4 linked regions of the Notamacropus eugenii genome follow. The protein of the gene in region 4 binds, or shares a complex with, the protein of the main gene of each other region. Links are inferred from orthologs where the notes say so. Each region holds a gene or a part of one and is shown on either strand. Other genes may lie near its edges.

What was found.
Region 1: TAF1A (region 4) and TAF1D share a complex: the UniProt entries of both Homo sapiens proteins name them as parts of the transcription factor SL1/TIF-IB complex. The link is inferred for Notamacropus eugenii from reciprocal best matches to the Homo sapiens genes TAF1A and TAF1D.
Region 2: TAF1A (region 4) and UBTF share a complex: the UniProt entries of both Homo sapiens proteins name them as parts of the pol I pre-initiation complex. The link is inferred for Notamacropus eugenii from reciprocal best matches to the Homo sapiens genes TAF1A and UBTF.
Region 3: TAF1A (region 4) and POLR1H share a complex: the UniProt entries of both Homo sapiens proteins name them as parts of the pol I pre-initiation complex. The link is inferred for Notamacropus eugenii from reciprocal best matches to the Homo sapiens genes TAF1A and POLR1H.

What each region holds. Positions count from the first base shown.
Region 1 is NC_092876.1:164,941,105-164,947,942, reverse strand, and holds the start of TAF1D (TATA box-binding protein-associated factor RNA polymerase I subunit D), read right to left. Parts: upstream 3,003-6,838; 5' UTR 2,939-3,002; intron 2,636-2,938; 5' UTR 2,484-2,635; intron 2,242-2,483; 5' UTR 2,054-2,241; coding exon 1,954-2,053; intron 1-1,953. Other genes in the region: C5H11orf54 (ester hydrolase C11orf54 homolog), read left to right, coding at 3,143-3,318. UniProt on the Homo sapiens protein: Component of the transcription factor SL1/TIF-IB complex, which is involved in the assembly of the PIC (preinitiation complex) during RNA polymerase I-dependent transcription.
Region 2 is NC_092873.1:349,813,285-349,820,710, reverse strand, and holds the start of UBTF (nucleolar transcription factor 1), read right to left. Parts: upstream 3,008-7,426; 5' UTR 2,878-3,007; intron 2,564-2,877; exon of another isoform or gene 2,435-2,563; intron 1,278-2,434; exon of another isoform or gene 1,161-1,277; intron 1-1,160. UniProt on the Homo sapiens protein: Recognizes the ribosomal RNA gene promoter and activates transcription mediated by RNA polymerase I (Pol I) through cooperative interactions with the transcription factor SL1/TIF-IB complex.
Region 3 is NC_092873.1:83,974,236-83,981,421, forward strand, and holds the start of POLR1H (DNA-directed RNA polymerase I subunit RPA12), read left to right. Parts: upstream 1-4,175; 5' UTR 4,176-4,425; intron 4,426-4,560; 5' UTR 4,561-4,569; coding exon 4,570-4,690; intron 4,691-4,918; coding exon 4,919-5,019; intron 5,020-5,777; coding exon 5,778-5,887; intron 5,888-6,359; coding exon 6,360-6,384; 3' UTR 6,385-6,425; intron 6,426-7,182; 3' UTR 7,183-7,186. Other genes in the region: putative uncharacterized protein ZNRD1-AS1, read right to left, coding at 1-294, 953-1,028, 1,438-1,670. UniProt on the Homo sapiens protein: Core component of RNA polymerase I (Pol I), a DNA-dependent RNA polymerase which synthesizes ribosomal RNA precursors using the four ribonucleoside triphosphates as substrates. Can mediate Pol I proofreading of the nascent RNA transcript.
Region 4 is NC_092873.1:414,090,991-414,098,868, reverse strand, and holds the start of TAF1A (TATA box-binding protein-associated factor RNA polymerase I subunit A), read right to left. Parts: upstream 3,004-7,878; 5' UTR 2,782-3,003; coding exon 2,631-2,781; intron 1,272-2,630; coding exon 1,149-1,271; intron 215-1,148; exon of another isoform or gene 1-214. UniProt on the Homo sapiens protein: Component of the transcription factor SL1/TIF-IB complex, which is involved in the assembly of the PIC (pre-initiation complex) during RNA polymerase I-dependent transcription.

The sequences.
Region 1 (6,838 bases), on a different chromosome or scaffold from region 4:
CAGTCAACTCTTTTCCCACCAGATGCACTTCTTGGACTAGACTCTACCATGCTCCCAGTGCAGGATACCTTGCCCATACCTCCTTTTTCAGCTTTTGTGTATTGTCTTCCTGTTAGGGAATGCCTTATTTGTTTCCCTACTGCTTAGTACAGGTCCTGGCACATAGTAGGTACTTAATATTAAGTAGCTGACTTGCCCAATTTAGATATTGGATGTGAGAAGTTTAAACTGATTTACTTTTTTTTTGGATCCTATTTACAATTCACTTATTTTGTCCTGTTAACTGCCTTAATCAGGGTTCTTTGTCCATGAGCATAGTCCAGAATTCAACTGGCCTGTAAAAGGTTTAAGTTTAGAAACCCAGTTCTCTTTAGCTAAGCTCAGGATGTGGTTTGCCATAAGGGTCTTTACACCACACCAAGCAATCCTTTCAAGAATATCTAGTTTGTTATCCAAAGTCACTAGTTCTTGAAGCTGAATACTTTTTAGTCACAGGAGGAAAGGAGGTGGTCACTGCTAGCGCCCCTCATTACCAAACTTCCAACCAATCTTGTACCCCATACCTCAGTTATGTAACCATCAACTATTGGGTTCTCAACACCATACATATTACCTGCTCTGTACTGTTTTTCTGTTCTATGCTTACAAAAATGAGCTGCATCTTCAATTTGGGGTCTTTGGCTAGAAACTGAAGCAGCCATTGACCTCAGGTTCATGCCCAGTTAATAAAATTGTTATCTTGGTCCGAGATATTTGCTTCTATTTACATTTTTCGTTAAATTTCACTAGCAATAGTGGTCATTATCTACCAGATCCTAGGTTATTTTCCCTCCTTTCTCAAGTTTTTACAGGCTCAAGACTTCTCAACCCAATTTATACCTCAAAAATGTCACTGGGAAACATTTAACAATAAAAACACAGTACAACTTAGTATCACATTTTTAAATTAAGCTAATATGGGGCCAGCAGGGATCCTGATGTACAGATTAGTAGACTTTTGACAGGTCTTTACCGGTAACTTGATGCTATAAGAGCTGATCAACCTCTGGTTCTCTAATGCATCACTAAATTACCTTCTGCCTCTTTGGTGGGTGGGGCCATTACCCCAAAGCTTCCAATTAAGGATCTTCCAGTTCTGGCCTTATTTCTCACCTGTCTGCACTTTCAAGTCCCAGGAAGTTCATTATTGGAAAAAACCTCTTCATCTTGCAAAAGATCTCAACAGCCATGGTTACTCCACCTTATCACCACCCTCTGTCCCTGACTGGAAAGAGAAGCCATGGACTACAAAACCTCCATTTAAGCAGGGAGATTACAGAACACCCAATTTCTAACCTCTCTGTACCATCTGGGATGTCTGATGTACCCACTCGGTGAGCATGGAACTGTCACCCCATCCCTTTACTACGGTGCCTGGCACATAGCAGGCATGGACTAGTACCGATCACTGCGGTAGGGGACTTCAAATACATGCCTTAATTCCTTCAAACACCAGAAACTATTACTTCAACAGCCTCAATTCCTATGACCTATTCCATGCAGCTAAGAGGGGGCAGTGGATAGTGCTGAGTCTTTTCCTGCATCGGTACTGTTTATGGGTCCCCTTCCTCCAACACACGGCACAGTGGGGAGAGAATAGGAAAACACAATTACAAAGAAACCCTTATCTGATCCTCACAACCTTGCTAAAAGGTAGATGTTATTATCACCATTACTTTACAGTTGAGGAAACTGAGGCAGGCAATAGGCTAAAAGTGACTTGCCCAGGATGATAGAACCAGTAAGTCCCGCAGGACTTTAACTTGGGTCCTCCTGAGACCCAGGATTCGATCTGGTGGTCAACGTATTTGTCTAGAACGGGTAGTTTTTCTTGTCATTATTCAGAAATGTTATACAAATATTATGTATAATTATTTCTTTTACTAAAGTCCTAGGTGAATAGCCAACACTCACCTTTTTCCCCCAGGAGGATTTCTTTTTCTCTCCCCCTCCAGTGACAGGAGTTAATTGGCTGTACTTGGGAGCAGTTTTTGGCTAGTTTCCTAATTTTCATCCAGTCATAAGAATTCCCTGAGCTTCCTTTGTACTTTAGCTAATTTGGAGACCATTTTACTCCATCTCCAACCTTTTTACGATCCAATGGGGAGGAGGGGAGGCACACAGCGAGGCGGTCTCATGGCAAAGCAGGCCTGGGCAAGTCACTTTTCACCCTGTTTGCCACTATTTCCTCGGTTTCCTCATCTGTAAAAGGAGCCGGAAAAAATGTCCCCCCCCCCAGGCTCTCTGCCAAGAACACGAGCTGCGGCACGGAGGGGGGTCCCTGCAGGCTGGGCCCGGCCCTCCCTCCTCCCCACCTCCCTGCGAGCTCACGCGTCTCCCCAACCGCCCCGCCCAGGCTCCTCCCGCCCGCGCGGCCTCGGACGCGTCTCTCCGTGGTCCCGATTACATCAGAAATGCCACTCACCATCTCCCCGCGCGCTCACCCGTTACGTTACCAGAACCTCGGGTTCCCAAAGCCCTTCTCGTGAGGGCTCGTGCGGCGCGGAGGAACCCGCTGAATCTCACCCACGTGGCGCCTCCCCTCTTGGGGCCTGCTTCCTGTTCTATGAATGGGGTTCCGGAGAAGCTCCCGTTTCTTTAATCACGCCGATTAAGATCGAAATATCGGTGTGGCCCGAGGGAAGAAAAAGTATTACCGACTCCCACTAAGTGGGGCATTCCCACCGGGCCCACGACCCAGCCGGCGCTCCTGGGCCTCCGACATTCGCGGAGGATTCGTCCCAGCTAGCCCCCCACCGGGGCGAGGCCCAGTGGAGGCCGCACGGCGAAACCCGAACAGGGCCTCCTGGCTCCTCTTAAGGGCCAAGTCACCAGAGGCCTAGTGAGAAGTCTGCCCCGGGCAGGGAGGAAGACGGGAGAGAGAAAGAGGGCCACTCACCATGCGCTCCCTTCCACACTCGCAGAGATGAAGGCAGACCTACAGGTGCGCGAGGAATAAAAAGGACGCTGGGAGCTCGCCGCCTGACTAAGAAGGGTGACGAAATCTCGCGAGATCAGGTGGCTGCCGGCTGAGAAAGCGGGAGCGGGATTGGCGCGAGGAGGAAGGCGGAAGCGGAGAGCGTGGGGAGGAGCCGGAGTGGGAATGAGGTCGTGCCCCTCCCTCGAGCGCCATCTTGCGTGGCGGGGGCGGAGCCTAGAGTTCGGGAGCGGGTGGGGACATGGAGAGAAGGCGGAGCCAGGTGCGCTCAGTCCTCCGTCCAGGTTGCCATCGCGGCGGTCCGGACGAGCGGCTGACGCGGAGGGGGCGGCCGAGGCTCCGTAAGTGGGTCGGCCTGGAGTGTGGTGGGGCGGCCGAGGAGGAGGGAGCGCGGGGACCTCGGGGGAGCCCCGCCAACCTCCCTCGCCGCGGCCTTTGGCGGCCCAGCGCGATGTGAACCGGCTGAGCTGACGAGGGAGACCCGAGTTCGAGCTCTGCCCGGGGCCCCCCGCGGGGGGTGTGGCCCCAGCCAGGTCCCGAGGCCTCTTTTAGCCTGTCAGCCAGTGAAATCTTAAGTGTTTATTGTGTGGTCGCTGCGCTGCTAAGCGCCCGGAGTTCCAGGAAGGGAAGGGAACAAGCGTTTATTAAGCGCCTGCTGTGTGCCTGACGCTGTGCTAAGCGCTACCTTGCCAGGCCGCGCTTTCACCGTCCCCATTTTACAGATGCGGAAACTGAGGCACACAGAGAAGTGATTTGCCCAGGGTCGCCTAGCTGGCTAGGGCTGCATTTGAACTCGGGTCTTCGTGACTTGAGGCTCAATCTACCAAAGTGCATTCCTGCCTGAGACAGAAGGGCACCACTGAAGAGGTTGAGGGGTGAAGGGGGACCCCAAGATACCGACGGTCCAGGTGGAGCTTGAATGAATTTCACTCAAGCCTTCTCAAAGCCAAAGAAAACAAAGTTTATTAAGGATTCGCCTAATTGAGTTGCCTCTTAAGCAGCCCAAGCATGTGTAAGGCTTGTATTCACAAGCAGGCTAGATGGAATCCCAGCTAGACAGAGTCTGAGCGCCTTCATGGGGGCGAGATGGAACTTAAATACAGAAAAGACTGTAGGAGGGATCTGGGGGGGTGGTCTGGGGTCCAGGGTGATGGGAGGAGGGGTTTAGGGAGGGTCTTGAGGAGAAGTCCTAGGAGGGAATCCAAGGAGGGTCACAGGCTGGAAACAGCTGGAGGCTATCAGGAGATAGCAGACATTGGAGGGTTTGGGTGGGAAGCAGGTGGGGCAATCGAGAGATAACAGGTAATGGTCCCAGATTTGAGTATGAAAAGCCAGGTTCTGTGGGGAGATACCCGAGGAGCTCAATTTGTGTATAAAAGGTCAGGTTAAGTGAGGAGATTCCAAGGGAGCTCAAGGAAGTTCCCAGAGTCTGAACCTCATCACCACATGCCCAGCACAAGGCCCTAGGAGGGCTTCCCAAGGGGTGGGGAGCCCCTCCTCTGGCAGGTAGTGACAGGGCCTGGGCCAGGGTCAGGGGACACAAGGGTGGAAGTTTCCCCAACCATGATGTGGGGGTGATGATGCTTGGCATTTATGTAACCACTTAGCAGCACCTAATAATATTGCCTTTCTTACTGGGTCTAAGAATCCAGGGAGAGAAGGAGGAGGACTTAACAAGCTACCGTGTCATCTAGGTGCTAGCGATGGTCTTCCTTCAGGAAGATATGCCTCCTACTCTCAAGCTATGAACTTCTGCTGGGGAGGCTGGAGCTGTGTTCTGATTTGCCCCATGTCATATCTGTCTTGAACTAGCAGCTGACGCAGGGATTCTCAACCACTAGCTCTTTATGTTTTGTCTCTGGTCATCCCAGATTTTCAGAGGGCCATTCTGCCTTTTGGTTCCCCACTTATCTGTGCTGGTGTAAAATCCTGGGCAAGTGTCATGCCTTGGTTGTTGAATGCTTGGACTAGTAAAGCAACAGCCAAAGGGCCATTTAAATGTACCTTTGTACAAACTACCTGTATTGTGTGCCAGCCCCTAGGGAAGGTGGAGATTAAAGAGTGTTGTCTTTTCTTTTTTTGTGTGGGGATGGGGGGAAGGAATGGAGGCTTTTTGTTTTCTGGATCAAACATCATTTCAAAGGTATAGGAAACTCCCTGTGAAGAAAGGCCTCCTATTTCTATACAGAAGGCACCACCTACTCTGCAGTTTAGAGTCTTGGAAAAGTGCCTGGGGCACTGAGAAGGAATTTGCCCAGGGTCAGGTAAACAAACAAGAAATACAGAAAAGCTTTTGGTTGTGTTGGGGGTTGCTCTTCAACCTCAAACAGCTAATCAATGTAATACAAGTAATAAGTTATATATTTTTAAAATGTTGCATTATTGTACAGTGATATACCTACTTTTAAGCAATGAAACTGAACACCTACTCTTCAGTAAGCTGTTTTTTTTCTATTGAGAAGACAGAAGAACTGTTACTGTTCTAACCTGTCCATCCCCAAGGTAGCCCCATCAATAAGACCCCATTCTCCCTGACTCATGTTATCTACCAAGTGCCACCCTCCGAACAACTTATTCAGCATCTGATGCTTGTTCTTGTGAGGAAAACTTACAGTTCCTGAAGCCAAGAAGTCAACCTCTTTGAATTGCAAAAAATTAAAACTGGCACTGAAGAGGCGGGCCCTCAGGGAAGAGATTTCACCAAGTCAAAGATGGTATAGTAGGATTTTTAAGTTTAAGTTAGATTACAAGAGATGATTTTTAATAGAATAGTATAGAAGGAAGTGCAAAATACAGCCTATATATGTACACACACGCACATACATATTGTGGAACGAGAGTCATGGGTTGGGAGGTGGATTATCAAGGAAGGCTTTGAAAGAAGTGTTGAATTTGGATTGTATTTCACTTTGGGATCACTTGAGAAAGGCAGCACTGAAGACCCCCAATAGGAAGTCAAGGGTGGCAGCTAGTGGTCTGGTGGATAGTACTTTGGACCTGGAATCAGAGAAGGAGATCTTAGTTCAGATTTGGCCTCAGATACTTATTGGCTGTGAGACCTCAAACAAGTCAGTTTACTTCGGTCAGCCTCAGTTTTCTCAACAGTAAATGGCAATAATTAATAGCACCTACCTTCCCAGGATTGTTGTGAGGATCAAATGAAATAATAGTTGTTTTAAAAAAAAGGCACTTAGCACCTTTCCTAGCACATAGTAGGTGCTATATAAATGCTTAATCCTTCCTTCTCTTTCTCAGTAGTTATTTACAATTTTGTCCACATTTTCTGAGATAATCTACAAGCATTTACAAGGTTCTGGAGATACAAAGACAAAAATAAAACAATTTTTTCTCTCCAGTATATATTCTGTTGGTAGACATGGGATAGGCACAGACTTGAAGTCAGGATGTGGATTCAAATTGTAATCATTTAACCTCTCTGTACTTCAGTTTCCTCATCTGTGAAATAGACAAACATGTTGGACTCTGATCTCCTTAATAAGGTCCCTTTGGGCACTTAATTTATGATCCCGTGATCTTCTAAAAAGTATCAGGACTGGACCTGTGCTTTCATTAGTGTGGGGAATTCACTGATAATGAAGCTTTCTCTGCTGATGCAGTTTAACCCGTTCTCTGAAAATTATGTACTGTAGTTTTCAGAGAATTCACTAGGGCAACAAGGTTAACTGATTTGCCAGGAGGTCACACAGACGGTATGGTTCAGAGTTCTGATTTCCTGATTTGGAAGGCAATTCTCTGTCCATTACAGCATACTGCCTCTCACCCTATCACTATATACAAAATAAATAAAAGGTTTTTGGAGGAAGGAGGCAACTAGGGAAAGTTCTGTCATGTAACAGATAG
Region 2 (7,426 bases), about 64 Mb from region 4:
CTTCAGCTTCTCCCCCTGAAAGAAAGGGGGCAGTCTCCACACTTCCCACCCACCCTCTGGACTACCCCCTACTCTATGCCCACCCCTGCAGCAGGGCTCCGTCTAGGGGAGGTGGGCAGGCTTGCAGGAGTCCTCCCAGGCCCCCACGTGTGTGGTTGCTCAGGGCTCCAGGGTGCAGCGAGCTCCACCCCAAGGAAAAAAACAAAACTCTCTCCACGCGCGGAGGAGGGGGTGGCCGGAGGAGAGGGGGGAGGAGAAGGGCGGGTAAAGGGCGCGCGCCGCCGCGGGAACAGGGGCGCGCGCGCCAGTCTCCTCCTCCTCCGCCCCCCCCATTCCCTGCTCCCCCCGCCTCCGCAGCCCGGCGGGGACCCGGACGCTGCGCAGGCACCGCCAGCCCCGGAGCGCCGCGGCCGCACCGCCCCCGGGGACCCGGATCCGGATTCCTACCGCCCTCCCCCCCTTCCCCGAGCCGCCAGCCCGGGCCAGCCCGCCCCGGGCCGAGCAGCTGGAGCTCTCCCCTACCCCCAGCCCCGGGGGAACCCGCCGCCCCCCGATCCGGAGCCGGGCTCAGCAGCAGCCGCGGCCCCAGCGGTCGGAGTCAGCACCTCCTCGTCCCCCGGGCCTCGCGGCCCAGCCCGGGCGGCGCCCCCGCCCCGGCCCCCGGGGAGCCGAGCCAAGGCCGAAAGGGAGGGAGGCAGCCAGGCGGGGAGGCGGGCGGGCGGGCAGGCGGGGGCGTACAGGACTCGCCGTCCCCGCCGCCCCCTCCGGCGATCCGGGAGAACTGCGGCTCCCGCCCCGGGAGGAACGCGGGCTCCCCCGCCCCGCGGCCAGGCTCGGCCTGGGCCTCCCCGCGCCCGGCTGCCCCGCGCGTCCTCCTCCGTCTGCCCAGCGTTCTCTTCCCCCCCAGCCTCCTCCTCCTCCAGCTCCCCCCGGGCAGGATTTCTCCCGGGGGCTCGGGCCCCCTCGCGCGGCCTCCAGCTCCGTCCTCCTGCTCCAGCTCCTCGGCCCCTGCCCACGTTCTCCGGCCCTTTCTCCCCTTCCGTGCTCCCGGGGTGCCGTCCTCCCGAGCTCGGCCCTCGCTCCCCTCCCTCCACGTTGCTCGATCTCGCCTTCCGGCGCAAGCTCTCGCTCTTCCTCCCCAGCCCTGGTCCCGCGATTACCGGGCGCAGCTCGGCGTCCGGGCGCCCCGCTCCCGCGGCTCCCTCCTCCCCCGCTCTGCCGGGCACAGCCGCAGCTCCCTCCCGCGGCAGCTCCTCCTCCTCCGAGCGCGGCTGGGGCGGCGGCTGCTGAGGCGGCTGCTGCTGCTGCTGCTGCTGGGGCGGCGGCGGCTGTGGCTGCGGCGGCGACGGCTGCTGCTGCTGCTGCTCCTCGCGGCGAAAAGCACAAAGCACAGCGCCCTCCGCCTGCAGGCAGCCAGCCCGCCCGCCGGCCGGCCCCGGGCTCAGCGAGCACACCCCCCGTCGCCGCTGCAGCCTCCGCCGCCGGAGCGGGAAGGAGGAGGGAGAAGGGAGGAGGAGGAGCGGGGAGGGGGGGCGGGAGAAGCGGGGCAGCGAGCGCGTCCTTCCCCGTAGAGCGCACACCGACCCCCGGGGAGCGAGCGCCCGCCCGCCCCGAAGGCTCCTCTCCCTCCCACAGCCCAGCCCGGGCGGGCTCCACGGGGGGCAGCTGGGAGGAGGGGCGGGGAGCTGGGGGGGACCCGGGCGGCCGAGGCGGAGGGAAGTAAGGGGGGGGAGATGGCGGCGGCAGCGGTGGCTGGTGGCGGCTAGGGGGGGGCCGAGGGAAAGAGACACGCAGCCGCCCGGATGGCGGTGGAGATCGGGGCCGGGGAGAAGGAGTGAACTGGCGGCGAGAGCGACCTCCCCAGACCCGTAGGAGAACTAGCAGCCTCGGCCAGAGCTGGAGGGCGCAAGGCCCGGGCCCAGGAGAGGGGACTCCCTGACCCTGGGAAGGAGCAAAGGAATCTCCATAATCTATTTTCTGCAGAGCTGGCACAGAAATTTTGCTTCTCCGTCTACCTCCCGGGGCATAATCCGTGCCCTCTTCCCTCTGCTAGCTCCTCGTTACTACCACTACCTTCACCCCCAAATCGGCGCTGCGGGGCCGGGGAACGAGCTGGCCGCAGAGCGGCGGCTACCGCTTTCTCCCCTTTCTCGCCGGGCTTCGCTCGCCTTCTCAGAAAAACACTGTCCCAAAATCTTGTTTAAAAAAAAAAATCACAGCAAACCTCCCTTCCCCCCCATTTTTTTCCATTTCTCTCTACACCCCGGAAACGCCGCGGGAATCGGGTCTGAAGTGCTGCCTCCAAGGAGCAGGCTCAGTTCGGCTCGGCATGGCTCGCTCGGGCCTTCCCCGAGCGCATGGAGATCCGCCTCCCGCAGCTCCTCTCTCCGTTCCCCCATTACCCTGAAATACGGCGACGCAAGGGCTTCCTTACCCGGCTCCGTGTATCTAGGTGTGGGGTCGAGGGCCGCGGGGGATCCGGGGAGCGGTGGCTGGGCGAGGGAGCGGGACGTAGAGCCGATCCGCAGCTACCGCTGCAGCCGACGCCAGGGGAGCGAGTCGCCAGACAAAGCCCGCGATGGCGAAGCGGAGGGACGGCTAATGGCGAGCCACACGCGCGGCGCTCCGCCCGCCCCGCTCCGTCCGCCCGCCCCGGCGCAGCGCAGCAGCGCTCCGAGCGCTCGCCCTGTCAGTGCCCCAGCCCCACCGCCGCCGCCTCCCAGGCCTTCCCCGGCCTCTCCTTTCCCCCTCCTCTTCGGCCGAGCTCCCTCAATCTCCCCCCACCGACCCCTCCCCTCCCGCTGGGGGGCTGGAAAAAGGAAAAAACCCCACCACTTTTCCCCTCTTTGTGGCTTTCCCCTTCCTTCTCGCACTCACCTGCGGAGCCGCCGGGAGGGCCGGGGGTGGGGGGCGAGTGGGGCTGGTGCCGGGGAGCGCTGGTTGAAAGCTAGCCAAGCTCTGCAGCGCCCGACCCGGGCGTGGACTCCGCCGCCAGTCCCCGCAGAGAAATCGTCCTCCTACCCCCGCCTCCATCGCTCTGCTTTTTTCTTCCAATCAGCCGGGCGCTTGGCGGCTCCTCCATCCTCCAGCCAAGCTCCACAGCCCTACAGCGGACTCCACTCCTCCATCTGCTCTCTCCGGCTCCTCTCTTCCCTACCCTGGGCTGGAGAAGAGGGGAGGGGGGTGGGGGGGGAGAGAGACGGAGGTGGATTTATTAGGAAACCTGCTTCTCTTTTCCCCGCACACCACCCCTCCCTCCCTTCTCTTTTCTCCCTGGCTTCTCTCCCTCTTGCTTCTTTTCAACTCTCCCTTCTCGCGACTAGGGTGTTGTGTGTGTCTCTGTGTGTGTCTGTGTGCGCGTTTTTTTTTTTTTATTGCTCTTTGCTTTTGCAACACTGAAGCCAAGAGAAGAGGAGGAGGAGAAAGGGGGGGGGTATGATATGTCTAAATTCTCTTCTTATATTTCCAGAAAAACAAAAAAGCACCCCCCCCTTCGGTTCCAGCTCTGTTCCTTTAGGGCCTTCTGGTTTTTATGCCCCTCCGTGGAATTCGTAATACGCGTGATTTTCTCCAAAAGTTCTCCCCTAGGGTGGGCGATGATGCTGAAGAGGGAGGCTTGTCACCAACCAGAGAGAAGACTCCCCCTACCTCCCACCCCTAGGCGAAAAAAACCCCCAAACCCGAGCTCGAGAGCGAAGGGAGAGCTAGGAGCGAGGCGGGGCTCCGGGGAAAGGGCTGGGGAGAGGTGCAGATGGGGAGCTGGATCGGCCTTCTCTCCTCTCTCTCCCTCTCGGTCTGTCTCCTTTTCGCCCCAGCGAGATCCCCCTTTAATTTTTTTTCTCCCCTTTAATCTAATTTCTTCCAACTCCACCTTTGTTGTTATGGGCGTCACGGTCCGGCTAGCCAATCCCCACCACGGGATCAGCTTGCTTGTCAAAAAGGCCTGGGTCATCCCGGAGAAAGGGCGGCTGGAGCAGTCTCAACCCCCCCACCCCCGCCCGGCGCGAGAGGCGCGGGAGGGACCCAGGCAGCCCCAGCCCCCGCCTGCCGAAGCTGGCCGGGATCCCCCTCTACTCCTAGGCGGCCTCTTTCCTGTTAGGCCTGCGTCAGGGGCGGGGAGAGAAGGAGGAGGCATTTCTCAGCTTTAACTGTCCCTCCGGGGCCTGGGGTTTATCGGAGACTTGCAGGGGGTGGGGGGCGCCTGGGCCCTCCCTCCTCCTCTGCAGGAGGTTTCTGCTGGCCGGTTGGTTTTCTGTCTCCTCGGCGGAGGAAATGGCTCTTTCAGCCCTGGGAACCCGAGGGACCTTCTAGGAGGGGAGCTCCTCCACGAGGCTTGTACTGGTGCCTGGGCCGGGGTGGGCGGTGGGATGGCCTTTCTCCTCGGGCGGAGGGCAGCGAGGCTCGCCCTGCACTCTCACGCACACTCTGGTGCGGATACAGTTGCTTTTCTCACCCACAAAGCATGTGTTTAGGGGATGGCCGGACGCTTGTGTATTCCCTCCTGTTTCCAGGGAGGATTCAAAACACGTTCCCAGCATAACCTCATCACACATCTGCCTGCTTACATAATGGGGGGGAAGCCCAGGCCAAAACTGGTGCTTCTGAGTGCTACATTCTCCGCTAGGGATTATTTCATTTAGGATATCCCTGTATCCACATTCGCTGTGCCTGGAGCACAACCGAATCAGTGTCTGTGGATGGTGACAATGTAGCAACGGTAGATGGATGTTCTGTGCGCTCACCGGTGTATTACTGGCATGGTATTTCCAGCTGAAAGGGCCCTTGGAAGTGACCACGCAATCGGCCTCCCTTCTCGCGTCCCCTACGGTCCAGGAGGAAACTGAGGCTCAGGAAGATTTCCCTCTCCCGAATTAGACCTGGCTCCTAGCCTGCACTTACGTGCTGCTGGGCCAAGACACCATTATGTAAAGTACTTTGGAATGAAGCTGGGTTATTCCCATTTACAGGAATGGCAATTATGGAGTTTTTATTCCTTGACTGACAAAAGTCAGAGATGGCTCCCTTCCCATTTGGAAGCAGGCTGTTTGGTTTATGTCCACTGCCTTCCTCTTGAGGTTAGGAAGTGAATACAAGAGACCTGGCAGATTGGAACCCAGCTTCATCGAGCCTTCTTCCCCTAGCAAACCTTCTCCCTACTCACCCCCTCCCCAACCCCCAGGATAACCTGGCTTGAAAGGCATGAAGTAAGATAATAGTAAAAACAGTTAATCAACAGATTGACTTCATTCAAAAGCTCCTAGATTTAGAGGTGGAAGGAGCCTTAGACCCTATCAAACCCAACTCCCTCATGTTACAAATGAGAAACAGGAGAGACCCTGTAGAAGTTAATGGACTTGCCCAGGGTCATGCATTGAGTACATGAAACCGAATTTGAACTCAAACTTTCCTGACTCATTTCAGCTGCATTCTGGCCACTCACTCACTTCTTCACCTAGCTGCATTAAAGTCTAGATAGGGTAGACTCAGTGAACTCTGGAAATGTTTCAATTCACTTAAACAAAGACTGATTAAGGTTCTATTATGTGGAATAGCATTGGAGAAGCAAAGCTTGCTTTTCTTTCTTTTTCAAAGTGGCACAACTGTCTACCCTCATGGAACCTATATTCCACTAGAGGAGATAGATACAACATGAACACACGTAAAATACAAGGTAGGGTTTAGAGCATGATGACAATTCTTTTCTTTCCCTTTAATTTCTTCCATTTCCATTTTTGTTGTGGTGGGCATGGGGATCCGGCCAGACAATCCCTGCTATGTGACCAACTTGTTTGTGGAGGCAATGGAAAAAGGCAGGCAAAATGTACTCTAGAAAATATTCTAGCAAAATATGTAGATTTTTGAAAATCAATTTTTTGTTTTAATTTTCCTCAACTTAAATGGCAAAAAAAGTGAGTTTCCATACACGTAACAAAATAAAAAAAAAAGATCTTGTTTATGAAACCATGAATCTCCATTTTATACTGTTTCTAAAAGTACATAATAAATTTCACATGCTAATTTCAAAACCGGCTTGTCTATGCTTTCTGATAAACTTCCTTCTTTTCTGCAAATTTTTAGAAAAAGTTTCAATGGCTCTCTTTTTTAAAAGAATCACTTTTATTAAGCTTTATTGCCCCCATAGAGTTCCATCCCTAATCCCAATTAAAAATACACACAGAGATAAAAACAACTCCTTAATGAACAAACATAGTCAAGCAAAATGAATTCACATAGTGACCGCATCCAAAAATGTATGCCTCAGCACCTTTAGTCCATTACCTCTGTCAGGAGATGGGTAACATGCTTTCTCACAGGTCCTCTAAGAGATATGGTTGGTCATTGCTTTGATCAGAGTTCCTGCCTTTCAAAATTGTTTTCCTTTGTAATATTATTGTTCTTGTACAAATCATTGTCTTGTTTCTACATTAGTCTGTGCTGTCCAGATTTCTCTGAAATCTTGCTTTTCTGTAATTTTTTTTTTACAGAGTAATAAGAATTTAGGCATTCCCCAGTTGCTGAACACACCCTTTGATTCTAGCAGCTCTTTGCTTTTCTCCCCCCCCCCCCCCAACCGCCCCCCCCCCCCCCACCCCGTTACATCCCTCCCATACTGTCTTAGGATCAGGAAATTTGTTTTGTTTGTAACTGTTCTCTCCCAGCTATTATCCTTCCCCTTAACCTCAAATTATACACCACCCTCCCCCACCCTTGTTTCCCTATTGAGTTTAATGTATTTCTACATTAAATTGTATTGTGTGTTCAACCCACCTTTGTTTCAAATAAAAGTAAGGTGTAGCTGATGCCCATCCCTCTCGCTCCATGTTTGTGTGCTCTTTAAATGTGTAACAATTATAAGGAATATAAAATTCCACCCCTTTCTTCCTCCTTTCTACACTAGTATATTTCCTTTTATTTTACTCTTTTCCTTCTTAAAACCTTTAGAACAGAATCAATCTACCATCAGGCCCTTCTTTTTCTAATTTAATTCCTGCTATATAATACTCTGAAGACATTGAGGTTCTGAAGGTAAATGTCTTCTCCTATTGGAGCTTCAGTACTGTATCATTATACAACTCCTTCCATTTGCTGAACTAAATTTAGTTTTCTAGGTTTTTCTGGACTCATGCTGATATTTCGAAATTTCTACTTGGCTCTAATCTTTTCATCAGAGATACTTGAAACATGAGAGAAAAAAAATCCTTCCACCTTTTCCCTCTCCATAGGATTATATTCAGCTTTGCAGGGTAAATTATTCTTGGTTATAAGTCCCATTTTTTTTTTCCTTTTGGAATATCATGTTCCAACATCTTCCATATATTATGAAAGCTACCAGGTCTTGTGTGATCCTGTTTGTGGTTCTTTAGTATTCAAAATGTTTCTTTTTGGATGCTGGCAATATTTTTCCTTTGATATAGAGGCTCTGGAT
Region 3 (7,186 bases), about 330 Mb from region 4:
TCTGTGTATGTGACACTCTATTTGCTTTAACTCTCTTTCTGATACTACGTAGTCCCATTCTTCAGACTCTAAGCTTCTCTGGCTTTTTGGTGTTGTCACTGGCTCCATTCTGGGCTTTTTAAATTCATTCTGTTCTTCCATCATTTCCATGATTCTCGTATAGTAGTAATTCTCTGCCTTAGCAAGTCGGTGGTCAAAAGACATAGCCTTTTCTTTAGAGAGGGTCTCATGTTCCTCTTTATGTCTTTGAGCTAACAGATTTCTTGCTGCTGGAGTATGCACACCACCTAAACTCTGTCAAAATGAAGGGATTTTTTTTTTTCCATTTTTCTACATTATTGTACACAAGTATGTAGACCAACTAAACTGTCAAAATGAAGGGATTTTTTTTTTTTTTACATTTTTCTACACTATTGTACACAAGGGAAGACAGTGAAGGCTCCCTCAGAGACAAGACACTGACTGGCTTTCTCTACCTTTGGTAAAAATAGCAATTAGGCTTGATTCACTTTCACTGCTAAGTGTATATACATACATACATACATACATATATATGTATATATATATTGAGGCCTCATTGCTAACAAAGTAAGAAATATATATACCATGATGATTATTTTTGAGAGTTTTCAACCCAAAAGTTTGACTTGAGTTCAAATTCAGTCTCAGACACTTAACTAGCAATAACTGTGTGATCTGGACAAGTCACTTTAGCTTGTCTTCAGAATTATTCTGTAGAATGAGGATAATAGTATCACCACCTCCCAGAGGGCTGTGGTCCATGAGAATCAAATGAGATCATATTTGTAAAGTGCTTTGCAAATCTTAAAGCATTATGTAAATATTAATATTTTGTTTTCCAACCTGAACTGGGAAATTTTGCTAGCACGGAAACTTGCTAAATGAAGATACCATAACTCTCTATTGCACAGTGCTATGCTAATTAACTTACCACAATTTTTTTTTCTAGTGGAGAGTGATGACCTATGGCAATGCGAGGGTCTTCGGTACTTTTTGCCCAGGATAATCTAAACAATGAAAAAGACATAAGTATTAAAACTTTGGAAACTGTTTTAAATAACTAAGATAATGAGTAAATTCTATCACAAAGTTGGACCAAGAAATCTAATGCTTATATAACTGTAAATAAGGGTATTTCTCAAGCAAGGACTTTTTTCTCCCTTCCCACTAATACTACATTAGATGTGGATAGATACATACACATATACACACATATATTAAATACATAGATTATTTATATATGTATATTTTATATTTATATATATGTAGATATGTATACACATATACATACACACAAAAGAGAGAAAAAGGGTAGTTTTTCCCAATGTAAAGAAGTTGCCCTTTCTGAGAAGAATAAGGAAAATTTTGCCCCCTGATTTGTTCAAAAATGGAACAATAACCCAAAATTGTGCTTACTTCTCTTGAGGACTTAGCTTTACCCATTCTGAGTCTGGGAGTGTAGAGCTGGACACAGGAGAGCCTGGCTTCTCTTCTGGTATTCCATTATCCCATATTTCTACACTAGATCCAGCACTCTTAGAACTTCTTTTCTTTTCTGGCACATTTCTTATCTCTGGACATTTCAGCTCTTTCTCCTTCTGTAGCCTCTTGGCTCTTGCCCTCTGGGCCTCAATCTGCAGATACAACATCTTTGTACTCTGGTTCTTCTTTGTCCCAGTCTGCTCCCTAAGCTTTAGTTACCAACCTTTCCCTTTCCTACCCTTGCTCTCAAATCATCATTCAAGAGAGTTACTCTCCAACACTCTAGTCCCTAATACTCTGAATAATCTTCTGACATCCTTTAGGATGAGAAGTTGCTGTTGACATGGGTTTATTTATAGTGCAGGTTGATGTCAACACAAGGGAAGGTCACAAACATTCTTCTATGTCATCACTGACCTAGTCTGAGGTTACATGAGATTGCATGCTTAATATTTAAATGATTTAGATATTGCAAAATTGATATCCCACTAGATATTTTCTCTAACACAGTCACAACCCCAGTTTGGGTCCTCAGATCACTTCTTACCTGTTCTGAAATATACAACCTTTTAATTGGTCTCTATGCCTCAAGTCTCTCCCACTCTAATCCATTCTTGACATAAAGTGACTTTCCTAAAGTGTAACTTTGACAAAGTCATCCATCCTGCCCCTTACCCCACTCAGTAAACACTCAATATTTTCCCATTATCTATAGCATCAAACATAAGCTCAATGTGGCATTTAAAGTCCTTCATAACCTGGACTCCTCCTAGCTTTCCAGTTGCAATAAAATCACTACTATTAGAGCTCTCCCCTTCCCTACTACATGGGTTAGGCTAGTTTTTCCTTGAAAGGAAGCAAAGTTGTTCTAAGAAGTTGATGGGGGCTGAGAGTATTCAAACTGTGCTTTCCTTGAAGTAGCCTCTGGTCATAATGGCATGGTTTACCTGTGAGCCACCTATATGGATATCAAGGTCCTTCAGATTTGGTGGGTGTCCTAAAACCTGTGACTGTAGAATCACCACATTCTGCCCTGGTGACCAGACAAATTTCCTGGTCTATGCAAACTAAAATGCTGGAGTATCCTTGTTGAATATCCTTTCTATGATATGGCTGTGCAAACATTTTGTTAACTGATATTCTAATGATCTATGAGTGCTTCATTTCATTCCAACATGAATTAGGTCTGCCCCAACACCAGTTTTCTTACACATTACTCTCCTCACACACTGTACAATCCAGTCTATTTGACAATCCTCACACATTTAAGTTCTCTCCCATCTGCTCACCTTTGTACTGACTGCCCTCCATGAACTCCTCACTTCCATACCTCTTGGAATCCCTGGTTTCAAGACTTAGTTCAAGTACCCCCTTCTGCAGTTCTTGGTCCCTTCACAACAGCTAGTACCTTTCCTCCAAAGGCTACCCTCTCTCTATTCTACATGTGCTTACTTAACATACATGTCTCCATTAGAATGTAAGCTCCTTGAAGTTACAGATCATTTTTTTGCATGTTCTTTGTATTCTCAGTGTTTAGCATAGGCCTGGCATGTTTTATAAGTTTATTTAATGCATACTTTTTTTTATATAAGCATTGTTGTTTAATCATGTTTGTCTTGTTGGACTCTTTGTGATCTCATTTGGGGTTTTCTTGGCAAAGATACAGCTCATTTTACAGGGAAAGCAAACAGGGTTAAGTGACCTGCTTGTGATAACACAGTTGGTAAACCGAGAGGCTGGATTTTCATTCGGGAAGATGAATCTTCCTGTTTCCAAACCTTGAGCTCTATCTATTGTACCTATAGATACATATAGATACATACCTATGTATTATAGCTGCTCCTATATAAGCATTAAGTATTATTACGCTTACATGGGCAGCATCACTCTTGGAGGTTCTTGTGGAGTTGTAACAATATCTGTGAAATTCCATGAAGAGTTTGACACTACTGAAAAAACGACTAAAAACAAAAATTCCACTTACAAAAGCAAACCTATTTTAGAAACGCTTACTGATGGATCAGCTAATTTGATAACTAAAATGGATTCCACTGTTGCACATGACCCAGTTGGAATCTCACAGATATTGTTAAAACTCATTGCTTCCTTAACTACAAAGACCTCCAAGAGTGACGCCGCTGCCCGTGTACACCTAAATCATCTATCCTTGCCAAATATCTCATGAATGGGAACACCATATCTTCTCATGGAAATCCTCCTTACTCCCTGGCTTCTTGTATTTTCTCTATAAAAATGAAGGTCTGGGGTCGAGAGGAAGAGATGAAATTATGCTCATGTCTGAGTTCTGATCTCCGACTACTCTTGCCAGATTGATTCATCTGAGATTAAATTCCCATCATTCAAAGGCTCCCCCCCCCCCCAACCCCGCCATGGCCTAGGAAGGGAGAAGAGGCAAAAAAAAAAAAAACTACAACGCACAGCGAGTCCGGCTCCAGCACCCATAGGGAAGCCTCCGGGTCCCCTTACTGTGTAGTGCAAACAGCAGCAGCAGTGGGACAAAGGCCTGGGGGAGGTTGTTCCTTAAAGTCACACTGCGGAACAGACCTCGGGACAGAGACTAGACCCGGAGGACAAGAGGAGAGAAGCGTCTGCTCGAGTCTAGAAGATAACCCTAGGTACAGAGGCCGCGCCCGTACGTCCGCCGTGGGCGGGGCTGCGGGGACGCGGAAATCTCGCGGCGCTCCAGGATGCTGGAGGCGGTCACGTGTTCTCACTGTGACGCTACAGCCTCTCCAGAGCCCGGCGCTCCCCTAGCCCAGCCCCGCGTGGCCCAGCCCCGCGTGGCCCAGCCCCGCGTGGCCCAGCCCCGCGTGGCCCAGCCCAGCGCAGGCCGGCGCGTCTGCCAGCGCGAGCTGACGTCCCGATCCGAGGCGCGGGCTTGCTCCTGGAGCCGGAATCCTGGTGAGAAGCTACCGTTGGGGCAGGATGCGGGTCGGGCACTGAGAGCAGTCACGGGCGGAGGGAGGCAGGGGATTCGCCGGACCCCAGGTCCTGCGAGGAGAAAAGAATGGCCCCCGCTTAGTCTCTTCCTCCCAGGTCATCTCCATGGACTCCAGCTTCCATTCGGACTCGGATTTCTGCCCCGAATGCGGCTCAATTCTGCCTCTTCCAGGAACTTTGGACACAGTAACTTGCCCCAGGTGTGATTTCTCCATAGACGTGCGGGGTAAGAGCCCCTCTGGAATAAGAGGCTTTGACGAGCATGGATTCTCGGTGCAGGGAGGTTGTGGGGGAAGGCCCTGAGCTTGAGAGACAGTCTGGTGTCCAGAGGCCAGCCCTGAAGGTGCCATTAACCAGGGGGTGGGACCCGTAGGGACGGAGAGAGGCCGGGGGAAACGGTGCAGGATCTCACCTTGTGCCTGAGCAACGAGCAGCCCTCCTCCTTCTCTTCCAGAGTTCGAGGGGAAGGTGGTGGCCACCTCGGTCGTGTTCCACAAGTTGGGAACACCCCTGATGGTGCCAGAGGAAGAGGGGCCCGAGTTCCAGGGACCAGTGGTGAGTTGAGTGAGAGTCATTCCGCTTCAGTTACATGGCTCCATGAGACGTTAGATCTCGAAGTCTTAACATATGTATGGATCAAGCCAGCAGATTCAACAAATAATTATTATCTTTTCTGTGTACTGCATCATATCATTAGATATAATAGGGGCCTGCAGTGTGTAATATTTTGAGGCAAAGTGGATTGGTAAAGGCTAAATCTAATTCATGCAAAATACAAGATAATCTGAGAAGGTGAAGATCAGTTTTAGCTGAAAGATAAGGGAAGGTTTCATAAAGGAGTTGTAAATCTTAGGCTACCAGAGATAGAAGGAGCCTTATAGATTATCCAGTCTGATTTCATTCAATGAAAATGAAATTGTGGCCCAGACAGATGGTGACTTGCCTAGAAACAAACAGCTCTTGGGTTGGGCAGTTTGGGATTTGATCTCAGATCCAAATTCAGCATCTTTCTGCTGTATTACATTGGGCCTTAAAGGAAGAGAAGAATTTCAACAGGTGAACACATTTTAGAAATGGTCAATAGGCTACAGTTAGGATCAGGAAACAGCTAGTTAATTAATCCCTTTTGTCTGGCTGTAGAGCACAAGCAGGGGAATACTATAAATAATAAGCTAAGTTAGACATAGATTGTGGTGGGAAAACCGTAAAATACCTGGCGCACAAGTTGATATTAAATTCTATAGGTACTAAGGAACCACTGAAAGTTTTTGAGCAGGGAGCTATGAGTCCCTCCTAATTTACTGATTTCTCAGATTGACAGGCGCTGTTCCAACTGTGGTCATGAAGGAATGGCATATCATACCCGGCAGATGCGCTCAGCTGATGAAGGACAGACTGTCTTCTATACCTGTACTAATTGCCGGTGAGCAAGGATTTCCTTCTTTCCTTCTCCTCCAACCTCCTCTCCCCGAGGTGTTAGGACATGAATCCTACATCTGGATCCACAGTGGGTCCAAGTGGATTGTGTTCTCAGCCTCAGATTCATAAAGACCTCAATTGAAATTTTGATTCTGATACTTACCAGCTTTGTCACCATGGATAAGTCATAAGTTTGCTCAGCTTTAAAATCATCTTAATACCTACTTCACAGGGTTCTCATGACACTTAAATGAGAACACTATGATTATTAATATATACATTCAACAGTGGTCAAGCTCATCCTTTTCCTCCCACTGTTTCCACATAGCCCAGATTAGTTGAAGAGTCTTTTCTGAGAAAACACGTCAGATGGGAAAGATATGTGACTTCTCTTGATTGATTGTCCAGTTCATTTCTAGGAAGTACTTTCTGTCTAATCTGACAATCTGTCTACTCTGACAATCTATTCTCTTTAGGTTCCAAGAGAAAGAAGACTCTTGATCACTACCTACCAATTGGACTCAACTCGTCCTATTTGAAAGGTAGGCCCCTGGTTAAATGCTGAATCCTTATCTGACACCCTAGACCTGTCTGCTCCTGTGGTACCATGCTCCCTTGTTTTTCATCTTCTTATAAGTGATTAAAGCTATGTACTTTTTGTAAAGCTGTAGTATGTTTTCAAATTTTTGTGGTTAAGATCCTAGGAAGAGAGTGGAGGAGAACAAGACAGTGCAGGATGATGGAGTCCCCAAGGCAATAATACTACTTAGTATTATTACTGTCTGCTATTGTGGGAGAAAGAGAAATGGATCTAGAGTCAGGAGTGGCCTGAGTTTGTATCCTGCCTCTGACACTCGTTAGTTGTGTGACTGACCATGAATAAATTACTTAACCTTTCTAATTCTTAGTTTCCTCATCAGTGAAATGGGGATAACATAAATATAAAATACATATATTATCTTACAGTTACTGTGAAGGGTCAAATGAGTTGTAATGCACTTGCAACATAAATATCTTCAAAGGGTAATTCATTCTTATCAATTTGGGTATTCCCTCCAGTGGTACAGATTGCAACTCATCCCTGTCCAGCCTGTGTTTTTTTATTTACTTTCATTAATGCTCTCATTGGGCCCTTTCTTGCATCCTCTTCCATTGTGTGGATCCTAGTAGAGCACAAAGGCTGGTTAGTTCACTGGTTGCCTGTCTATGTGGTGATGAGTTCACTTCAGTCTGATCATACTCTTTGATGTCATATTTTATACTTCTCCCACGTAATTCCTTATTTGTAATGTGTTTCAGCATT
Region 4 (7,878 bases):
CTGGTCCTGGCACCTTGTCCATAGCAAATGTTGGGCCCAACACAAATGGCACCCAGTTTTTCATCTTAGGACTGACTGGCTAGATGGCAAGCATGTGATCTTTGGCTAAGTGAAAAAATATATGAACATCATAGAAGCCATGGAGTACTTCATTTCCTGGGATGGCAAGAATAGCAAGAAGATCACCACTCCTGACTGTGGACACCTCTCATAAGTGGCTTATTTTGTTTTTGGGGATTTTTTTGCTTTTATCTTAACCACTAAACCATTCCTCTAAACCAGGAAGAGCCCCCTAAATTCCTACTGCTCTCATACCCTATAATGCTTGTGCTCTCACTTGCTACAGTTCTCTTTGGATTCCTTTCACAAGTCTGAATAGGCAATATAGTTAAGTTTATGATTATGAAATAAAAACTCAAGTACAAAAAAGTCATTTTGTCTAAACACCTCATTTTACAGATGAAGGAGCTAAGAAGCAAAGACGTAAATTTATCTACCCAAAGTCCCAATGACAATATTTGCCAGAGTGACATCTAGAATCTAAGTCTTGCCTGATTCTCAATCCAATTATCTTTCCAAAAAATATAAGCTAGAGTTAAGAATATATACTATACAGTTATCCTTTCCACCTTACAACTTTCCCCACTGTGGTTTCTATATATTGTGGGCCAGCATAAAAAATTAAAAGGAAATTTTGGGGGAGTTTTGTGGAAGCCACACATGAAACTAAAAGGACAGCAGATGACACAGAGTCAAATACTTAACCTAAATTTTATAAGGTATTGTAAACACTCCATGAAAGAAAAAGAAAATAATCAGACCTCTTCTCTGGTACGAAGAGAGGGCCAAAACATTTTAAGTAGATTTTCCAGATTACAGGGGTGCTGCACCCCTAACCCCCTACTTCTCAATGTGGAAAGGATAACTGCATATAGTATATAGCTCATAACCCTATACTAGGGAAACATACTTCCCTAGAACCCTAAGAGTATATGAGGCCCACTTTCAGTGAAAGAATAAGATTTATAAAGAAATCCTCATGATATGGTAACTCTTATTTATCTAGAATCCAAACAATCAGGAAGCCCAAATTCCTATATCTGTTTTTCATATTGTGTATATTATTCCCATAGTTCAGCTCCACTTACCTATACTCTGGATGTGCTGTAAACGCCAAGGTAAATGTATTTCTGGACCAGCGCCTACTGATGCTTCTACTTGATCATCCTCTTCCCCAGGACTCGTTAGTTCATCACTGAAAGTATCCATATCTACTCCAAATGAAAAAGAATATTTACAAATTCTGCACATAAATCTATAGCTCAAAAAGCATTTTTAAAAAACTAACAAATATAGCATGCACTTCAATGTGCCTGGAATTTCCTTTAGTTTAAAACAAAATTGAGCTGTCAGTAGTAACTGAAATGGACCAGAAGGTAACATCCATATAAATCAATTTAAAAAGACATTTATTAAGCACTTTCAGTATATAGGCACCTAGGTGGCACAGCAGATAGAGTCCCTGGAGTCAGGCCTGGGCATGGAGTCAGGAAGACTCATCTTCCTGAGTTCAAATCTGGCCTCAGACAATTCCTAACTGTGTGACCCTGGACAAGTCACTTATCAGTGTCTGCCTCAATTGGCATGATCTCTAAGGTTCCTTCAAGCTTCAAATCTAAGATCTTAATACAAGTTTTATAGGTTTTAACAATGTAAATCAGTCATGGTTTTGCTCAAGTTAACAGATATTAACAGAGGACTGGACTTGGTGAAATTTCCTTTGATTAGTAATTATGTGACACATGCCCTCTGGGCCTCAGTTTTCTCATACAGTCTACTCAAGTCCTCTCACTGTTAAATCTGTGACAAGACACTACTGATTCTACCAGCCTGCTTTAACAAGTGATCAGAGATAGGATAAAGTGTAAAAAGAATCACAATTTTCTAATTAGTGGTTTGATGTGTAGAACAATGGTATCAATCCCAAACAGAAACAGAGTCCACTAAATTCTAAATAATAAGGATCCCTGAAGCTGCATATTAACTTAAGAAACCACATATTAACATTATCTATGTTCTATGTATATTTATTTTGCTAAATAGTTTTCAATTACTTCTTAATCTGGTTGGGAGTATTTGAGATTTCTACTGTAGACAATTACTTAATATTTTGTTATATAAGAGGAGCTTAGAATTCATTAAGAATGACAGAACAATTTAGTTGAAGAAAAACAGACAAGAAATAATCTGAGTACACCACAAAGTATTATATAATATAACAGAGGTTCATGGAATGTTAGAGGTGGATGAACCTTTAGAAATCAACTCAGCTTCCTCATTTTCAAAGGCTTAATCTTTAGGCACTTCAGCTTCTTTTTTTAAATGTGGTAAGTCATATTGTCTGCCCAAATGAAATAACACACAAGGAGCACCAGGGACAGGACCTGTCACTTCACTGACAGGGGGAACTCCTATGAGAAAACTCCTCCCACCAAGGTGGGTCAGGGCCTCTTCTATAACTCAGAGTTGTCTACAGCACCAAGTGGATAAGTGACTTGACCAGGGTCATACAGTCACTACATGTCAGCCTTGGCCCAAGGACAGCTCTCACTACATACACCATAACTCACTCTCTAAAAGCACAGGACAAGCGCCGGACTCGCACGTCCGCGTGGAGCTAAGTGACACCGTGGGCAGAGCCCTGAGCTGGAGGTCTGCAGAACCTGAGTCAGGATCAGTCCGCCGCAGCCCCTGCTTCCAAGGTGGTTGTGAGGGCATCATCAGACAGCCTACGGCATGGCCCTCGCAAGCCCCACGGATCTTTAAAGCCTCCTTTTTGTCATCCCTGCCCTGACACTTCACCACGGAGCTGCGTAATTCCCAGCAGGGCACACAAAAACGCTGGGCACCTCCGCTTCTCCTGGCTCCAGGCACTTTCTCAAACTGACCCCCGAGTCTGGACCGCTCTTCCTCCTCGGCTCTGACCACTGACCTCCCCGGCTGGTCCCAACTAAAAATCCCGCCTCCTACAGGAAGCCTTCCCCCACCCTCTGGGTTGCAGGGCTTTCCCTCGGCTCGCTATTTCCTGTTTACCTAGTATACAGCTGTCTTTGCATGGATCTGTCCGCAGGGTGTCCCCTCAATTAGACTGCGAGCTCCTTGGGGGCGGGAACTGCCCCCTGCCCAGCGCTGGGCACACGCTGGGTGTAGTAGGCGCTTGCTAGGGGTCGTGAGGTTAGGAGGAAGTTACTTTATAAACCCCCGTAGAAGTCCTTCTCCATCCCCATCATCGCCATCATCATCTTCATCGCCACCGCAGGGCTTTGATCACTAGCTTCGTAAAGTTTAGGACCTCCATCACAGAGGTTTCGTAATTGGGACGAGACTTAACAGACGACGGCCGTGACCTCACCAATTACCGCCCCTCCTCAGCCGGAGCGACGAGCAGAGGGTCCTAGGCCACCTCCCCGCCTCCGGTCTGCCCTCCCAGTTACGCGGTTACCATGGCAACCAAGCCTCGCCTCCCCGGGGGTAGAGGAGGGAAAGGAAGCGAGGGAAGGGAGAGGGCAGGGGCTCGAGTTCCCAAGGCAACAAGGCCGAGCCATTACTAAAAAAATAAATAAGCGGGCCCAGACGTAAGGGGACGTCCGAGACTAGGCCCAGTCACCGTTAGCGGCTCCTGAATCTGTGAATTCTCATTCTGACACTTACCGGAGCTCGGCTCTGGCCTCTTTCCACCTCTCCTTAGGACCCAGAGGAAACCCCGCGGAAGTTCAGACAGCCCGGGAGCATGCAGTGAAACGCACAGCGGAGCACGATCCGACGGCGCATGCGCTCGCGTGTTGCCTTATAGAGAGCGCTTGCGTCACTTCCTTTGACCCCCCCCCCCCTTTTCGGCGCCTCTCGCCTCCCCCGCTTCCGGCGTCTGAGGATCCCGCATTCCCGGAATAGGTTTTCCCGTCACTGTGGTCTCAGATCCGGAGAATGAGGGGTTTAGGGTGACACTTGAGTGCCTGGCCGCTGATGACCCCTGACCTTTGACTCTTGATGAACTTGCCAGCTTGGCTTTGCGCGCAGCTGTTGATGCGCAGAGGAAGCACGAGGACCGAGGGTTGGAGCTGTCCTGCCAGAAAGGCTTAGGCTGTCCTCGTCTGTCCGAGCGCTCCACTCCTGTTTTGGGCAGAAGAAGAAGAAAGCGGGAGACGGGAATCACTGTTAAACAGTGTTTAACTGTGCATAGTTATGATTATGCCCGTGCCAACATATTCCTAATGGATGCTTTTACTTTGCCTTGAACCTTAAAAAAGGAATTCTCCCCTTCCAGCCTTGGCAGGACACTGAGCGTCCCCTGATCACAAGTACGTGACTTGAGAAGCCAGCCAGGCTGGGCAGGAGGCGAGCAGACAGAAGCACATTTCGCCCGTCTTAGGTTTCGAGGCGCCCAGCCCAGAGACGAGCCTGCTCTGAAATAGGGTGCAGCCCTTCAAATGGAGGAGAAATTAGACCATTCTGCTTCATTTCACAAAGTCGAACTAGGAATAAATAGCTCATTAGCCATCAGAGAAAGGCAAATTTCACTTCAGCGTGAGGAAACATTCTGAATTTAGAGTGCTCAGGAAGTGGATGGGATGTCTCAGAAAAAGAGTTTACCTCATGGGAGGTCTTCTAGAAGATACCACTTAAAAGGGATAGTTTAGCAAGCGTATCGTATGAGAAATGCCCTGCATTTGGTTGTAGGATCTGGGTTTGAATCCTGGATCTATGTACTACCTATGTGACCTGGAGCAAGTAGTTTAATCTCAAGGTCTCGTCGCTAAAATAGAGATTTGAGCTAGATGACCTCTAAGTTTCTTTCCAGCTTTAAATGTAAATTCTTAAGGGACTCTTACCATGTGTAGGTTAGATTATATGATCTCTGAGTTCCTTCCCAACTCTAAGGCTGACAGTTTCTGAAGGCAATATACTTGGAAAAATCAATAAGGATTCATCACCCCATTACATTAATATGGGTATGGAAAAACAGATAGGAAGATGCCTGAGCTTGGTAAGGAAACTTAACAGAACTACAGGCAACAAATGTATAACCTACATCAAATTGCTTGCACTCTCAAGGAGAAAGGGAGGGAGAGAATCTGGAACTCAAAAAATTTTTAAAAACAAATGTTAAAAATTGTTTTTACATGAAATTGGGGAAAACATTTTTCAAAAAGAGCTGCAGGCATCACCTGAGGATTTGGCTGATGAAATCTTGAGCTGAAATAATTTATGAAATTAAAAATTTAATTCAACACAATAAATGGCTACTATGCGCAAAGTACTTCGCTAAACCGCAAAGATATAAAAACAGTGCAGTCGCATGATCATAGAATTTTGACTAAAAAGTGCTTCTACAGCTCATCTGATCCAGCTATACAATTTTACACATGAGAACCTGAGTGAAAAGTGATTTTCTTAAGGTGATTATTTTTTGATTTAGAGGGACAATGAAGCTTTGAAAGGTTGAAAGATTTATCGCAAGTCAACATTGGTCATTAGTATGAGTGGAAAGTTCATCCTTACCTTCCAGCTTAGAGTCCAGTCTCAGAAGATGAGGTGAGCTACCTCCATGCTATGTATTACCCTTAGATTTGAGCTGTTCATCTCATTTCTCCCATCTTGATGCATTATGGATCATTTTCTCATCTTCAGTTTTTTCTCTGTTTATTTACAGTCTATCTGTAAATATGCTTAAGCCTCCCTTCTACTAAATTTTTTTTTCATTGATCTTGTTACCCCTTCAAACTATCTCCTATATCTCTTCCCCTTCAGTGATCAACTTCTAGAACCTTGCAATCTAGCTTTGATTGCTCCCACTTAGTTTAAACTGCTCTCTCACAAATACTCAATGACTTAGTTGGCAGATTGAATAGACTTTTCCCTGTATGCTCCTTAATTTCTCTGCAGCATTCCTTACTGTTGAACATCGCCTTCTTCACACTGCCTTCTCCTTTGACCTCTATAACAGCTCTCTCCTGGTTGTCCTCCCTATCTAACGCTTAATGGTCTCCTTTGGCCACCACAACAATGGCCAACAGAAACTGTTATGAACTAGTATGCAAAAAGTTAATCAGCAAACCTATCTGAATACCCGCTGTGAGTCAGGCGCTGTGCTATGTGCTGAGTATATGAAAATACATATTAGTAAATGCAAAGTACATATAAAGTAAAAGAGGAGGTACTAACAACCAGAGAGATGCACAGAAAAATAATTTAGAAGAGAAGACAAATAACAAGTTTGTTTCTGGCTTGTTAAATTTTATAAACATTTTTTAAAACTATAACAAGTTTACAGACATGGATAGAGCATTTATTAAATGCTTAACACATGTCAAGCTCTCAGAACACAAAAAGAAGACAGCCTTTGCTCACAAGGAGCTTATATTCTGCTATGGGAAAACAAAATAAAGCAACCAGTATGGAGGTGGAACACATTGGTGAGTGAGCAAGATGGAAGTAAGTGTTTATAAAGAGCTTACCAGAGGTTCGGTGACTTGTCCAGCGTCATACAGCTAGTAAATAAATGACTGTGGCTAGATTGGAACTCAGGTCTTCTTAACTCCAATCCCAACATTAGATTATCCCCTATTAGACTGTGAGCCCCTTGAGGGCAAGAACTGTTCTTTACCTATTTTTGTATCCTCCTTACTTAATACCATGCACATAGTAGGCACTTAATAAATGTTTACTGATTGACTAGTAGCAGTCCACCCCAAAGCTTAGCTGGAGAGTGAACTATGTGGTTAGACCTTCTCATGTGACAGACAGCTCCAGGCAAAATGGAATCATCTACCTTTTACTAGACTTCTGTCTCTAAGGTGGGACAGCCAGTTTGGAGTAAAGTAGATCTATATGGTGATGGAGCAGGCCAGAGTCTTATGTACAATCACAATACAATTTCATATACAATCATTTTTATTCTTTGTGGTACATTAAAATATTTTGTGTTGATATTCCAAGGTACAAAAGGTAAAGATTTTGAAATGAAAACAACTTGCCTAACAAAATTGAATACAATCTTGTAAGGGCAAAAAATGAAGCTTCACTGAAGTAAAGGGCTTTCAAATATTCCTGATGAACTCCTGAGTTGAAAAGGAAATTTAAAATACAAATAAAAGAGTCAAGAGAAAAATAAGAAATGTAAAAATGAGTGATTAATCAGAAGGGACTTAATAAGAATGAACTGCTTACATTCTAAAGGAGGGAAGAGAGTATAAAAGGGTTCTTTTAGTATTCTAATGCCATCATTCTGGGTAATAGGCCATTATTCTGTAGGAAAGGGCCAGACATGCTCACCAGCTACCAATCAATTGCTATCTGTAGCAGATGGCCTGCATCTCCACATGGCTCGGTGATGTGGTGAAGAAGATACGGGAGGCGGGAGAAGAAAGACCAACTCGGTTTATTGATCTGAGGGTCCGGGTATTTATAGACAGAAACTGCAAGCCTACCAACATTCTGCTTTGTCTCCTGCCCTAGTGATTAAATCAGTCTTATAAGATTAAATCAGTCTTATAAGACTGATTTAATCAGACTGGGAGCCTAGAGGGCTTCTATTTTACATATCCCTTGTTTTCTGTTAATTCTCTTGTTTGTCTCACCTGGACAGCAACATCTGGGGGGGGAGGGGGGGGGCATGGAGGGCCATTCCGGATGATAATGAGCACAGTCTCAAAGAACAGTTTCCCCGAAGGTCTATTCTGATCTTGTAAACCGCACTCCACCCTGGCCCTCAACAGCTATCCATAGAGTAGAACCTAGCTCAGGCCTACACAACCTGCTGCCTAAGGGCTGTTTACTTCCCTCTGGTCACTTGCAGCAAGCCAAAGGATTTCCAGTGCC